Lytechinus pictus: one gene and its partner. The protein of the gene in region 1 purifies or fractionates together with the protein of each later gene. This does not show direct contact. Links are inferred from orthologs where the notes say so. Each region holds a gene or a part of one and is shown on either strand. Other genes may lie near its edges. The genes, in order: dnaJ homolog subfamily C member 3-like and dnaJ homolog subfamily B member 11-like.

What was found.
Region 2: the proteins of dnaJ homolog subfamily C member 3-like (region 1) and dnaJ homolog subfamily B member 11-like purify together in Homo sapiens (affinity purification with mass spectrometry; 3 studies listed by BioGRID and IntAct, with this or other methods). This does not show direct contact. The link is inferred for Lytechinus pictus from reciprocal best matches to the Homo sapiens genes DNAJC3 and DNAJB11.

The regions. Positions count from the first base shown.
Region 1 is NC_087260.1:12,715,768-12,723,864, reverse strand, and holds the start of dnaJ homolog subfamily C member 3-like, read left to right. Parts: upstream 1-4,404; 5' UTR 4,405-4,541; coding exon 4,542-4,629; intron 4,630-5,272; coding exon 5,273-5,383; intron 5,384-7,666; coding exon 7,667-7,866; intron 7,867-8,097. UniProt on the Homo sapiens protein: Involved in the unfolded protein response (UPR) during endoplasmic reticulum (ER) stress.
Region 2 is NC_087245.1:13,274,892-13,283,401, forward strand, and holds the start of dnaJ homolog subfamily B member 11-like, read left to right. Parts: upstream 1-4,869; 5' UTR 4,870-4,971; coding exon of another isoform or gene 4,972-5,123; 5' UTR 5,124-5,257; coding exon 5,258-5,322; intron 5,323-6,691; coding exon 6,692-6,848; intron 6,849-8,510. Other genes in the region: serum paraoxonase/arylesterase 2-like, read right to left, coding at 486-621, 1,587-1,749, 2,986-3,041, 3,849-3,919, 4,972-5,123. UniProt on the Homo sapiens protein: As a co-chaperone for HSPA5 it is required for proper folding, trafficking or degradation of proteins.

The DNA of each region.
Region 1 (8,097 bases):
TCAATAGAGCATACAGTGTTGGCCTTCCACTAATTTATGTAAAAGATATCACGAGTGTAATGCATATGAAAATATCATCATCACACTATTATGAGGTCCCTAATATGTTTGTGTATTACCTCATTACCAACACTAATTGGGCATAGAGTCATAAATTATTAGCTAGGGTAGCCAATTCAGCAATTTTCCCTTCACCAGGCACGATAGGTGTTTAAATGGCATTATATTAATTCTCATCATCAACATGAATCATGATCTTCATCATCATCGTCATATGATCATCATCAAAATTATATTCATTATTACCACCACATTCATCCTCATCACGTATTATCAGCACCTGATATCATAATCATCATCATCTTCATCATCTATCATATCATCTTCATCATCATCATCTTCATCATGCACCACCATCGTCATCAACATCTAGATAAACATCATCATCTTCATCATCATTATCATCATGATCTTTCATCATCATCATCATCATCATCATCATCACCATCAACATCATCATCTTCATCTTCGTCTACAAGATCATCATCATCTTCATCATCACCATCGTTATCATCATCCATCTTCATCATCATCTTCTTCATCACCATCACCATCCTCATCACCACCATACTCGTCACCATCATATATGTGGTCACATTTACAACCACCACCATCCTTTTTCACAAATCAACACCTGGTATCATCACTATCACCATCATCGATCATGTTGCCACTATTAATTACCACCATATGCATATTCATCATCACCTTGTGGCTGTGCACATCATCATCATCATGCATCCACTATCACCACCACATTCATCCATATCACCAATCAGCACCTGGCATCATCATCATCTTTGAATCATCAACATCATCATCATGCATCATTATGTTTCCATTTCAGCGGCTCTACTTCTGAATTTCGCCGGCTCTACATCTGTACTTCTGAATTTCTCCAGCTCAGTACGATCCCACTCCCCGCTCTTTTGCCCGTGTGTCAGCTACCCGTACTCCGTAGAAAGTACCGCATGCCGCAAAGATTATCTGGCATCGTATTTTCACTCATCACTGGCTGCAAAGTTGCCACACAAAACCGGGCATATATATATATAAACGCACATAAATCCTTCACAATTTGCAAATTACTCGCTCCTAAGTCAATAAAGCTAGTAGCCACATCATCATCTGGAATGCTCATAGAAAGTATATATTACCTGAAATTTGAGGAATAAGTTGTTTTACTATAAGTAGATTTGTGCTCCGGTCGCTCGAAATGCAGGTAGATGAATAGTCATTTCGCCCGAGCATAGCGCATTATATTGGAAGCAGACGACATGCAGAAAGACGCGCGCTCTCAGCGGGATCGGCATGATAATCCGTGTTACGTAATAGAAGACGTCATTCACAACAAACTGAATTAGGGTAACCCCAAAAGTTTTAGGTCAATCGTTACAATTTAAATCAACCGTACAACACAATGTGGTAGCTTAATTGCACACCGGCGTGACGCATGACGTTCTCTATAATACCTGGGGGTATCTAAATATATCATTTCCTCGTTATTCCACAAAAATACAGTCTTACAGATGTTTCTCGTGGGCGAAAATGCACGGGTCACGAAATAAAGGTGAACCCAGCTGAACCGACTGAACGCAGGAATATTATGAGGAAGGGTCATGTGAATAGGACTATAGCTGAAATAGGATCATGAAAGATGGAGTAGGAACGCGGAACTATATATATATCCGGGGGAAATCATTACTATACATCAAAACCGTCCAAATAAGGATGTACTCCAATAAAAAATGAACTCAACCATCATAACCCCATTGATCGAGGGTCGATCAGTAATCAACGTGATTACAGGTCAATAATACCAGAACACTCAACATGCATGCTTTTTATTTATAGACCTTTTCTAGCTGCTTTATTCCCCATTTTGTCATGTCTACTACTAATGAATTTTTTTAATGCCTAGTCATGTCGATGTGTGCAATTTTCTGTTAATTATCAATGTAATTAAAGCCAGTTGAAAAATGTTTTATGTAAATCATATAGACTAATGAATTGAATAAATTTCAATACTGTCCTTCATGATGGTCCTGATGGTCCTGATGTAGCTGGTTAACTTTTGAATGAAAAATATGATCAGCAATATTATATCCTGCACATTGTTGAAACATTGTAAAAACGATGTTTATTTTTTACGCACGTGTTTTAATTCTGTATACACTCCAACAAATTAAATTTTTAAACAAATTGTTTAAAACTAAAAAAAAAAATGAAAGTTAAAACAATATTTGTTAGCGTGCTTGAAATTTTGTGTCTGAAGAATGAATAAACTTTTTTTTCATCTTTGTCCCATCTCTGTCAAAATTACCATTAATTCTTTTCTTCTAGTCTTATCACTACACGCATAATAATTGTCGTTCGGATTCCCCTTTAAAGAATAAACACATGAACCAAAAAATGTAGATTTGAATTAAAGGACAAAACCAAACAAGCATAACGCTGGTGTTGGTCAAGAAAGTTAGGACATTTTACACTTTCGCGTAATTTCGCAAAACAGTAAATCAGTCACAACATGGTCTGTATATCATGTATATATACAAACGAGGACATTGGTCATGGCATCACGTATCACCTCTTTTTATGTTAGTATATAAAATATAAAACATTTTATCTTCTCCTCATGATACCGTAAAGTTAAACAAAGTTTGACCTCCAGCCCTGAACATACGGAACTCTAATTATTGTAACCTATTGTACCAGGCCTGTAAGTTCTGATTTAAAAAAAAGATAGTTTCCTTGTTAAAAGGTCAAGTCCACCCCAGAAAAATTATGATTTGAATCAATATAGAAAATTCAAACAAGCATAATGCTGAAATTTCATCAAAATCTGATGTGAAATAAGACAGCTAAGACATTTTAAACTTTCGCTTATTTTTCCACAAAACATGTTATATGTACATTTCAGTGTTGTGCAAATGAGAGAGTCGGTGATGTCCCTCACTCACTATTTCTTTTGTTTTTTTATTGTTTGAATTATACAATATTTCAATTTTTACAGATTTGACAATAATCATGACAAACTTGACTGAACCACAATGTTTAGCGGCTAATCTACCTTCTTGTCGGAAGCTCATTTTCGCCTTCTGTTTGGAAAAAAAGTATTTCGGACGGCAAGAAAAATACCAGAATAGAGTCATATTTGCAGATGATATGATTAAGTGATATTTGACATCCGAAAAGTCGAGTTAATTATATTGGTGAATTTTGTAGGGGCCGCCTTGTGTATGCTATTTACCTATCTCTATCAAATAAATCTTAAAGGTCAAGTCCACCCCACAAAAATGTTGATTTGAATAAATAGACAAAAATCAAACTAGCAAAATGCTGAAAATTTCATCAAATCGGATGTAAAATAAGAAAGTTATGACATTTTAAATTTTCGCTTATTTTTCACAAAACAGTGATATGCACAACTCAAATGAGACAATCTATGATGTCCCTCACTCATGCACTATTTCTTTTGTTTTTTATTGTTTGAATTATACAATATTTCATTTTTATAGATTTTACAATAAGGACCAACTTCAGTTGACTAAATCATATAGTATTAAAAATGCCCATTCCACATGTTCAGGGAGGAATTAATCGTTGTTTCACTTGACAAGGAGTAGAAAAATAGGATATTCCCTATTTTATATAATAAAATACAAAAGAAATAGTGAGTGGATGACGTCATCAGTCTCCTCATTTGCATACCCAACAGGGTGTGCATGTAATTGTTGTGTGAAATTAAGCAAAACTTAAAAATGTCATAACTTTCTTATTTTACATCCGATTTTAAAGAAATTTTATTGTTATGTTTGTTGGATTTTTCTCTTTTTATTCAAATCAATTTTTTGTTTGGGTGGACTTGTCCTTTAATCAGTAGGCCTACTATACCCCTCCCTGCATTTCCACAGGCCCAGCCACCCCCCTTCATTTTTTTAAATTTGTTTTGTTTTGTGAACAATTTTGAATTGAGGGGCCACTAGTTTAAAAAAAAAAAAAAAAAACAGTCTCGTTGGGCATGCGCGTCAAATTCAACAACAGTTCACCGAGAATCAACAGTGGTTTTGTTGATGGGTGGAGCCGAAAAGTCCATGTGTAATTTGACGTTCGAGAAGTCCTTATTTGACCAATCAAATCGCAACACATCTTTCTTGTGTAGTGCAACGTAATGATTTAATCCAAGTTTGAAGTTAGATATTGCATACTGACTAAGTTTATATATTATAGTTGATTATAAAATATTATTAAATCTATCTTAGTTTCTACAAAAGAAAAAATGGTATTAAAATTACTTTTCAATGAAAGTAATATAATTACTTTGAGATAAATTAGACCAACATCAAATTGACAAAAGTAGCACATACGTGTATGGGATCCCTACGTGTATTAAGGTATGCGAGTCCGCTACTGAACCGATTTCGTTGCAGTGGTGATAATTTCTTAATGTCAGACTGTTATCGAGCATTTACTCATCATTGATGGCGAGACGAAGGGATATGTTCAATTTGCACAACTTTTTAAGCTCGATTCCAGTTCTCTTGGTGACTTTGTCTCTTCATTATGATGGTAAGATCTCAAAATTGTTGCTCACGCCTTTGCCGTAGTCCCATCCATTACAAGTTTTGTATTGTTCTTTGTTGTACTTGTAGTCTCATGTCGTCGGCCAAGCAAGTCCCAAATCACTTGTCTAACGATTAACGAAAGTAAAAGTAACACTTTGTTTATGAAATCACGCTGTTTTTGCCGAGTTTAAGGTTCATAGTAAGGATCTACAACAGATGACAAGTTGTTGATGGAGGCAGATGCGATTGCTTGACTTGTTCATGTTGTTTTGACTGTCTGATCGACATGATCGAGATCATTTAATTTCAAGTTAGGGATTTATTTGTTCCTAATTTTTACTTAATAATTTGAAATAAAAAGTCATTACGTACATTGATTCTTTCAACATCTGTCTTACTTCCATCAGCATTTTAAAAAACTTACTGACCCATCAATTAACTCCAGCTCTTTCCAATTTCCATGGCATTTTAATTTGTATTGATCTTTTCCCTTTATAATTGATTGAATTTGAAGTTTGAATGAAAAGAAAGAAGAAAAATTGGCATATATTCTAGTCTTTCAAATGTGAGTTAAATCTAGAGATGAGCTCGATGCCAATTAATCTATTTCATGAAAAATTTGCGGATGTTCTTTGTTTTCTGTGCAGATGGAGAAGCGAAATCGGAAGCAGAGGCCAAGAAATACATGGAGACTGGAAACACTTTGTTAGCAGCTGGTCAGCTTGCTGATGCACTGGCCCAATATAATTCTGCAATAGGTATAAACATTTACCAGTCTTATTTTACCAACTGTGCCAGTAATGAATTAACCATTAGACTGCTTAGTAAACACTTTCGATGTGATACTATAGTGTAAAGCGTGTACGGTACTGTATATTTTTTTAAATTCCATAGCAACCTACTATGAGTAAATTACTTTCTTTTCATTGAAAAAATTGATAGTTCTGTTCCGGTAACTTTGTTTAAATAGGAGGAGAAAAATTAACAAAACAATATAGCCACTGTTGGTGATAGCTTAAAGGACAAGTCCGAACCCAACACCCAGCCAATATGTATTATCCACTTGAATATTCCAAACCTCTAGAAAAACATGCTGTCAGGCCCAAATTCACAAAATAGGTTGAAACCACAGAAGGGATTTAAACCAATTACCTTTCATAATGATAATTTCAAGCTCATTGAAATAAGTGTAATGAGCACTCATTTGCTATGTGCATCCCTAAAGAAAATATGCAAATGGGGGGGAAAAAATGGATGTCTGCCACCAAGCCCTAAATTATAGCAATGGGTCATTAAATCGATTGCTCTATGCCCTTTAAAAAAAATACTGTTCAGGAACCAATCAGAATGGTGCTCTTATATTTGCAATCCATTGCCAACCTTTGTGGTACAACAAAGCCGAGATCAAATTCAGTACTGTGTACACTTAAAAATAGCCTCAGGACAGCATGTAACAAAGAGAAAGTTTTTAGAAATCTCCCTTGTGAATTATACCTAATGAAAGAACACGGAACATGTATTATTAAAGGGATGGTCCAGGCTGGAAATATTTATTTCTCAATAAATAGAGTGAAATACACTGAGCAAAATGCTGATAATTTTATCAAAATCAGGTCACAAATAACAAAGTTATTGAATTTTAAAGATTTGCATTTATTCCAGTGAAACAGTTCTAGGGATGTCTTTATGAATATGCAATAGGTGGGCTGATGATGCATATCCCCACTTGTTCTTTTGTATTCTATTATATGAAATTAGGTTTATTTAAATTTTTTCTACCAAGAACTAAAGCAATTGGATTGACAACTGATTGAGTGCATTAGTTATTTATTGCCGCATCTTATTTCTTCATAATGGAGACATATCAATTACACATGTATAAAAAAATTAAACATTTATTATTTCATGTAATAACATAACAAAAAGGAAAGTGGGGATGTGACATCATCAGCCCACCTAATGAATATTCATGACAATGTGGATATAACTGTTTTCACAAAATATTGATAAACTTGAGACTTAATAACTTTGTTATTTATTATCCGATATGATGAAATTTTCAGCATTTTGCTGTGAATTTTACTCTATTTATGTAGATATAAATTTCTTCAGCCCGGACAATCCCTTTCATCACAGTTTGGTGTGAACTTTTCTGTGTGTGAGTCAGAATGTATTCAAATAATGCTCTTTGCTACTGCACCAATATTGCAAATCATTAAACTATACATAAGTGAAGGGATGCCTAAAAATAAATTGCAGGGGTTTTTTGTATGAAAAAAAAAATTGGTTAGAAAAATAGAATAGTATGAATATTTTCTTTAACAGACATTGTGTATTATAGTTAGAATCTTTGAAAAAATGAAACCTTCAGTAGACTATAACGAAACTCTCTGCAAAAAGAGAGCAGTTGAAATCTCTGTAAAGATATGCCTCTATTAAAGGGATGGTCCGGGCTGGAAGTATTTATAGCTAAATAGAATTCACTGAGCAAAATGCCAAAAAATTTCATCAAAATCGGATAACAAATAAAAAATTAATTGAATTTTAAAGTTTCGCAATATTTTGTGAAAACAGTCGTCATGAATATTCATTAGGTGGGCTGATGATGTCACATCCCCACTTGTTCTTTTGTATTTTATTATATGAAATTAGGTTTATTCAAATTTTTTCCTCCAAGAACTAGAAAAAGGGGAATGACAGCTGATTTAGTGCATTAGATATTTATTGCTGCAACTTATTTCATTATAAGGGAGACATATTATTCACACAAGTATGACATAATGGAAAATTATGATTTTATGTAATAACATAAGAAAACGGAAAGTGGGGATGTGACATCATCAGCCCACCTAATATTCATGACGACTGTTTTCACAAAATATTGCTAAACTTTGAACTTCAATAACTTTATTATTTGTTATCCGATTTTGATGAAATTTTCGGCATTTTGCTCAGTGAATTCTACTCTATGTATTAAGATATAAGTATTTTTAGCCCAGACCATCCCTTTAAAGGAAGGTTTATTATTTAATTTTGTCAAGACAATGATCCTGAGAACTACATGGCATACTACAAGAGAGCCGCTGTTTACCTGGCCCAAGGAAGGTCCAAACTGGCTCTACCAGACTTGAAGAAGAGCATGACTCTCAAGAAGGACTTCACTCCCGCTCTCATCAACCATGGCAATGTACTATTTAAGCTGGGACATCTTGCTAAAGCTAGGGAAGATTATGCTGCCGTGGTGAGATATTGGATTCATTTTCTCTGTTCTTTTTTTCTACTACTTTACCCCTTTTCATCATCCTTGTCCTCCTCATCCTCCATCTCCTCCCTTCCTTCATTCCTTCTCTACATCTTTTTAGAGGACTTTCATTCCCTTTTCAATTAGTGCTTTAAATCTCCATTCTTTGCTGCTTTATGTGATTCTCACTTAAGTTCCCATGTTCCCACTTAGTACTTTTTTAAATGTGTA
Region 2 (8,510 bases), on another chromosome or scaffold:
AAGACATTTGTATCATAATTTTTATGATTATACATAGCACAATGAGCATCTTGCCCGACAGATGTGTGCGCTTTAAAAGAATTCACTATTATTAATCAACTGGAATAGTGATAGCTAATGACAAGCTTTAACTTAGGTCTTTTTTGTGTAGTTTACTCTCTTCTTGGCATAATCAATATTGACTTCTACTATATTACATGAAACAATACAAGTTGGCAGGTAACAATTGAATTAAAGAAATAGGGCTGTCATGAAAATGATGGCATTGGTCATGTAAATTTGCTGTACTTGAAAGTTAATGCAGCATGAACTTTGTAATTGCATTTACAAGTTTATTTTAGATTTCTCTTTTGTTTTGATTAACTTTGACTTTATACATATTTACTTCAGGTTTTTTAGAAATATTTTCAAAATTGACATTAGAATTGCCTCTTTACTTCCCACAAGTTTTATAAATTAAAAAAGAAATTATGAACAATACCAACCTCCAAATATTCTTGTGGTGTATTCTTCTCTGATGTGTTAAGGTAGGTATCTTCTTCTGGTATGAAAAGTCAAACACCTCAATCCCTATTCTATCGGGGTGCCGATTGATAACATACAGGGTCAGTGTGGGATTATCTAAATGAGAGTAATATTGACAATAAGTATAAATTAATGACTTTGAAATCCTAAATAAGGTACCTTGTCCAAAATCTCTTCCAAGTGTTTCAGCAGGAATCCAGCTCTAAAAGGCACTATTTACCTTTTCATAGCAGCTTCCCTGCATTGTTTTGTCTAAGTTGAAGTGTTAAAGGGGGAGTGAACTGTGTGTGGTCTCTCATTGACTGTGTGTTATATATACATAGTCTTAGAATATACATTTTCAGATATAATAATACAGATAATAAATTGACCTATAATTGTATTTGTGTAGAGAAACTAAAATGTTTGAGAGGAAAAGTAATTGTTTTGCTGCTTGGTAAAATAATTATTGCGGTATAAATGTAACGATTAGTTAATGAGCATGTTATCATTCAAGTGGGTCTATATCAATAGACTACACTAGCATTATGGGTCAGGAAACTGGCCAGGTATGAGTAGTTGAGGACTCGAGATGGCGCTATTGGTTCGTATCTGCTTTAAAATCAGTAATGTGAAGCTGCTTGCGGGATTCCGTGCAAAAGACATGCCTCTGACTTTGGACAAAGTACCTAAACTTTTATGACATTCCACAAATACAATAGCAATAGTGGCTCCAATAAAATGAGGGGAGGGGGAGGCTAGGCTAAAGCTTTAGAAATGGATCATGATTTCTAAATGTTCTAGACTGAGCAGCACAGAAAAACAATCAAATAATTAGAAATAGGTTTGAAAGGTAATCTGAATTTAATTTGAAAAGGCAAAATAGAATGTCCAATACCGGCTGTCACTTCATAGATCTATTGAATTCCCTTTTTCATACCATCTCCCACCAATCTATACTAATTTTTTGGGGAAAAAAATTCAATGTGTGTCTACTTCAAGCTTGTATCAAATATCAGCCCTTTTTCACAAAGCTATTAGATTAAAGAAACAAGTCTACAAAGTAATAATTCTTAAAATACCTTTTGGCCCACTCTCCCAAATGTCCATTCCAAAGGGTATCCAGTCTGAGGGATCAAATCCAACAATCTGGATGTTTTTAGGATCATCATCAGGATAATTGAAGTCAAAGAGAAAGACTTTACCCAATATATCTTGATCAGGTTCAAATGCTTTCAAGACACCCTATTGAATGAAAGAAAATAATAGGCGATAGAGCATAATATTGTACTCAGATTTATTCTTACAATTAAAGAGAAAGTTTACTTTAGTGTCAAGTTGGAAATACAAGTATAAATAATCCATAACGGATTAGACCTACAGTTTGTTACCTCAGCAATAAAAGCAATTACACAATATTATTATGGTGATGATGACATAAATAACAAAAATAATAATTGTAGTGATGATGATGATAACAAAAATGATTTGTTATTCAATGTTATTCTTAATATTGATCAGTGTTTTGTTAGTGATTATTGTCATCATCATCTATAGGGATAATGACGACAACAACAATAAAAAAAAATAGTATATTCAATTTTCTTGCCAATATAATATTCTTTATTGGCAATTACCATCATAATAATTATCATAAAAAGTAGCAGCAGCAGCAGTAGAAATAGAAGCAGCCAGTGGCGGACCGTGACCCAGAGGAGACAAAGCATTGGAGGGGCACAGCATTGTTCACAAACAATACAGTGCCCCTCCAATGCTTTGTCTCCTCCGGGTCACGGTCCGCCACTGGTAGCAGCAGTAATGCTAGAAGTGGTAGCAGTAGTAGTAGTAGTGGTGGTAGTAGTAGTAGTAGTAGTAGTAGTAGTAGTAGTAGTAGTAGTAGTAGTAGTAGTAGTAGTAGTAGTAGTAGTAGTAGAAGTAGGAGTACAAGCAGAAGCTGAATTAATAGAAGTAGTACTAGATGTATACTACTACTACTTCTACTACTACTACTACTACTACTACTACTTCTACTACTAATACTACTACTGCTACTCCTATATTACTTCAACAAATAGTACTGATGATGATGATGGTGGTGGTGATGATGATATTAATAATAGTTCTACTAACAATAATAGTAATAATAATGATAATTATTGTGATTTTACAAACAATCGATAAATACTTGCTATTAACACAAGTCTTGTGCAAATTTTGATTGAATTCATAGTTTTATGTTGTATTAATACTCTCTACCCTTGAGTATGTAATTCATACCAATACTTTGTTTCATATTTAACAAATACATAAATGTTTTACCCTGTAAAGCACATAAAAAGGTGTTAAATCTACTAATGCGCTAAATGAAATTATCTTTATTATTATTAAACTAAATATAATATCAATTAAAAATATATAAAAATAATAATAAAATATCATGATGATTATTATTTTCATTATAAAAGCTTCACATTAACTTACAGCGGATATGAATGCAAGTCCATTTGACGAGGTCACTATATCCTCAGATCCATTTTCTTTATGGTATAGATATAACAAACAGAAGTGAAATTGAAAATACAACTTAAAAAGAAACAAATATAATAAAATTAAAAAGAGTCAAAAACACTTTAAGGATTACATTCAAATTATAACAATATCGTATTCTCTCACAAGGGGGAAATTGTTTCAGTATTCAGGGGCCGCGGAAGCAGGGTGGGGGGGGGGCTTTTTCCCAAACCATGTACAAAAACGTAAAAATGACCATACGATTGTGATTTTTTGCATGGTCAGCCCCCCCCCCCCGACTTTGAAAACCGTTCCGCGGCCCCTGGTTGGGGATGATTTCTCTACTCGTGTTATCTCTAATTTCTTAATTTTGTATTGAAATAATTTCCCTTATAAAGGAATCACTCCAGCCCAAGGTCAAGTGAAAAGTTGATGAATACAAAAAATCTGAGAAGCAGGTATTATTATTATTTAAAAAAAAAATATTTGTAAAAAGCAACTCTTCCAAAAATACTTCAATACACAAAATAACCATTGTTATTTTCTTAAAGTTATATTAAGAATGTAATTTCTCTTAAATAAGGATATGTAACAATATCCTTTATGTTGTAATCAATCTATTAATTATTATTACTCCCAAATTATTCATATCACTCCTAATTTATATACTTGGATCAACTTTGATGTTCATCTATTGAACAATTCTTTAGATATCATAAAAAACATTAACAAAATTGACCGATGACAATCAAAATACATTAAATTCCTATAGCAACCATGTAAGATGGGCAGAGGCATAAAAAGGAAAGAAAGAAAATGAATTAGTCAATATTTACCAATTCCTGGTAGAGCTCTACACTTCCCAGGATAATGTGTGTATACAGTCTTGTGAAATCCCATCATATATCTGTTTCAAAATGTAAAAAAGAAAATAGCTCCTGAATAACACCAGAAACAGGCACTTATGAAAATTCAAGAGTGGTCCAAAGTGATTTACTCACCTTTTTGGAGTTTCAAAAGATTGCCTTGTTATAATCAATGTAAAGAATACAATAAAAAAAAATGGTGAAAACTGAGAATAAGAAACAAAAGATTTCAAGAAATTCATGGAACTATGAAAATTTGAATTGAAAATATGAATTGTTGTAATGGCTAATTTTCTTGTCAGTCCTATGATATGTTTCCATAGAGCATTAAAAAAACTCTTTATTTCCATACTAAATATAGGCCTACAACTATTTAAATTATTAAAATCAGAAGTTTGTGCCTTCTCTATTGGAGACAAAATGTCCCATATGTAACTCCCCCCCCCCAAAAAAAAGTAACATAACACGTCCTCTTCGACTTCACCCACGGCTTTATTACAAAAATATCAACTCTTTCTTGAGTCTTGTGACACAAAACAACAACAAAAGTAACAAAGTCAAAGGGGAAAGACAAAGTCATAATCCTCTTCGACTTCACCCACAGCTTTATTACAAAAATATCAACTCTTGTGAAACAAAACAAAACTTGATCTAAACCTAACCCTGATCTGAATAGTCAATTTTTTTTTTATTCTCCAAACTTTACTTCTTGGGAGCGTTTCATGAAAGGACTTGTCGGACGTTTTATCCGACAAGATCCATTTTATCCGACAGTTACCATAGTAACAGTACCTCTCAGCCAATCAACATCAGAGAAAGATGTCAGATCTGACAACTTGTCGGATGAAAATGTTGATGAAACACTCCCCTTATCTATTAAAGACAGATAATCTAGTATTATTTAGTCACTGTATAAAAGGGGCGTGTCTACGGAAAAATTATCTACCAGCGGCTGTTGTCTTCCCCCTAACTGCGGGCGGAGGCAAGCATCGATTCGAAAGGTGAGCCGTCGCAGGCCCAAAAGGTTCATTTTTAAATTTTAGGAGAGCTTTCAAACTTTTTTTTGTAAATCGAATCGAAAAGTCAAACTCACGCGATCCGAGCAAGCTGGTCAATCACTACAGCAAAAACGATGTAGGTGACTATACTACGGATTGATAACCACATTTTAATCAGAATTTGACGGAGAACTGCAACTGGGAGAATGGAGAGAAAATTGCAAAGACTCGACTGTAAAGTTAGCATGAATGAAGGCGTGGCATGGCCAATAAAGTTGCGTGCGCATCAGATGTAAACGCAACAGCGAATGAAAAACGACTTCGTGGAAATTCTGAAAGGAGTGTTGAGCCGAAAGACCGGCGTTTTCACATGGCAAAAACATGGCTATTTATACATGGAATGTATGCTTATTTCTCCTCCAGTTGTCATTAACTGTATTAGCAGGGTAAGCTATATTTGATTAATCTAGAAATTTAGAAAATTGTGTCTTTAAATGTGTTAAACCTGCAGAACTAATGTCAAGTAAAGCCTGTTCAGTCCCACTCGTTATAAAATATGTTTTAGTTGCTCACAAAGCCATTGGCATAATTAAACTTAATTAAGCCCAGATTCCAGAATGTCAATCGTGATCGTGTGTATGTGGATGCGTGGGGATAAGCAGATAAAAACATAATATTTTGCTCTGGATATTTTCAAAATCTGTGCATGAAATAGTAGGCCTAGGCCTAAATGTAATTTTTGATATTTCATTTATTTGATTTTGATATTTGAAATATTGTCAAACTAATCTCTGAGTATCAAAGTATCATGACTATCACTATCAGTAGACAGTATCACTTAAAACAATTTATGACTAACGATTAACGTTGACTGATAATTGTCATTTGATAAATCCACATCCGCTGTTTCGGAGGAGTTTTAACTTTTAAAAACATTTTCTGATTTTTTGGTCCTCCTACAACACAGATGACAGATGGATGATGGCTATTGCGCTCGTAATAGTGGAGCAAACAACCGCCGCTTAATTACACTGTACAGTGTCTATGGAGAAAAGGGTGCACTTTTTCACCCTCCTCGATTATGATTTTGCTTTTTGAGGTGGGAAAAAGTAATCTAAATAGGCCTAAAGATAAATTATTTAAATACATTCAGCTTACCACCTTTCCGAAAAATGTGCCAGAAATAAATTAAGGCTGTAACGGATTTTAAAATCGGCTCCCGATTTTATCAGATTTTACCACAATCAGCGATCTCCTGCCGATCTTTGTCTTTGATTATGCCCATTGAAGGAAAAAATGCGAAGTCTCAGCGGAGCATATCTCTGACATCAGTCTAGACTAGAATCTACTATCTAGTCTACATGTAGGCTACTAATGATTGCAAAGTTCTTGATTATTTAATTGCATCTTAACTTCTAACCTGGCCCAGAGAGTTACCCTGGTACTACCCCAAATCTTTCATCATATCACACTTGATTAGAATTTTGATAATTTCATTTACATTTTTCAAATTATGCATTCAATTCTTTGAATTAGAAATTGCTCTTAAGTGGCATGTTAGAGTTTACTGAAATGTATGCTTCTCTGACAAAATTACAATTGTTTTAAGGTGTTTGAAATTATTTTTTTTCAAATCGAAAACAATATTATTTAGCAACAACATTATTTAGCTCCTTTTTTTTAAACGAAAGAACATTTTTATATCACAACTTTGTTGGGAAACTGCAGTGGATATAGCTTATTTCGAGGTATCTAAATACGCTATACTTTGAATTAGAAGCTCATAAATCATAAAATTTTGTTTATGCATAACAGGAGAGACTTTTACAAAATCCTTGGAGTGCCTCGAGATGCTTCTACCAACCAAATCAAGAAGGCATACAGGAAATTAGCTATGCAGTATCATCCTGATAAAAACAAGGATGATCCAGAAGCTAATGAAAAATTTCATGATCTTGGTGCTGCATATGAGGTAGGCTTGATGTTTCCATTTTTTCCTTATCTTTATAGCATAGATATTAAAATGAATTTATGGAAAGGCTGTATTATTGTTGAATATATAGTTAATCCCAGCCCATTCTTTCAGAGTTATGATTGATAAATTAAAATTGATCCTCATCTCTTTATTATTTCCATTTGCATCTCAGATTGATTTTGATTATATTGCAACTCTTTAAAGGCATGCCTCTGGAAGGAGGGGGTGGGGTGGTGGCATGGTAGGGGTTGTCATCTTACTTTACTTTACATTGTTATAAACTTCGATGTTAAGGGTATCCTCATTTTTCCCCTCCAGGGAGTACTTTCTTATAGATATAGAACATTTTGTCAAATTCAGGTGTAAAATAAAAAATTATGACATTTTCAAATTTTGCAAAATAGTTATGCCCATCCTGGTCAGCCTTCTCTGTATACAAATTAGGTAACCAATGATGTAACCCATATACTATTCCCTTTGTAGTTTATACTCTAGGGTGGACTTGGCCTTTACGGGATGGCTATACCAATTTTTGTCTTGCCTGCATAACAGAGTGAGACTATAGGCGCCGCTTTTCCGACGGCGGCATCAACACCAAATCTTAACCGAAGGTTAAGTTTTTGACAGCATAACTTAGAAAGTATATGGACCTAGTTCATGAAACTTGGCCATAAGATTAATCAAGTATTACTGAATATCCTGCCTGAGTTTTAGGTCATATGACCAAGGTCAAAGGTCATTTAGGGTCAATGAACTTAGACCATGTCGGGGGAATCAACATCAAAATCTTAACCTAAGGTTAAGTTTTTGAAATGTCATCATAACTTAGAAAGTATATGGACCTAGTTCATGAAACTTGAACATAAGGTTAATCAATTATTACTGAACATCCTGCTTGAGTTTCACATCACATGACTAAGGTCAAAGGTCATTTAGGGTCAATGAACTTTGGCCAATTGGGGGTATTTATTGAAGTACCATCATAACTTTGAAAGTTTATTGGTCTAGTTCATAAAACTTGGACATAAGAGTAATCAAGTATCACTGAACATCCTGTGCGAATTTCAGGTCACATGACCAATGTCAAAGGTCAATGAACTTTGGCCATGTGGGGGAATCTGTACCATCATAACTTTGAAAGTTTATGGATCTGATTCATGAAACTTGGACATAAGAGTAACCAAGTATCACTGAACATCTTGTGCGAGTTTCAGGTCGCATGACCAAGGTCAAAGGTCAAAGGTCAATGGTCAAAGGTCAATGAACTTTAGCCAATGGGGGTATCTGTTGAATTACCATCATAACTTCGAAAGTTTATGGATCTGATTCATGAAACTTGGACATAAGAGTAATCAAGTATCACTGAACATCCTGTGCAAATTTCAGGTCACATGACCAACATCAAAGGTCAATGAACTTTGGCTCTGTGGGGGAATCTGTTGAATTACCATCAGAAGAGACCGCCAGAGGCATTCCACTTGTTTAAAGAATGTATCTAAAGTTGTTACACTTATTGCACTGACTGTCAAGAATAGAAAGAAATTCCAGTTGTTACAGAGTCACATAGAGAATGAATTTTGAAAGAATACAGGTTTGTACTTTTGCTTCTTTACTTTCATTCTGTGACCTCGTGTTGCTGAGCTTTGGTGGACCATATTT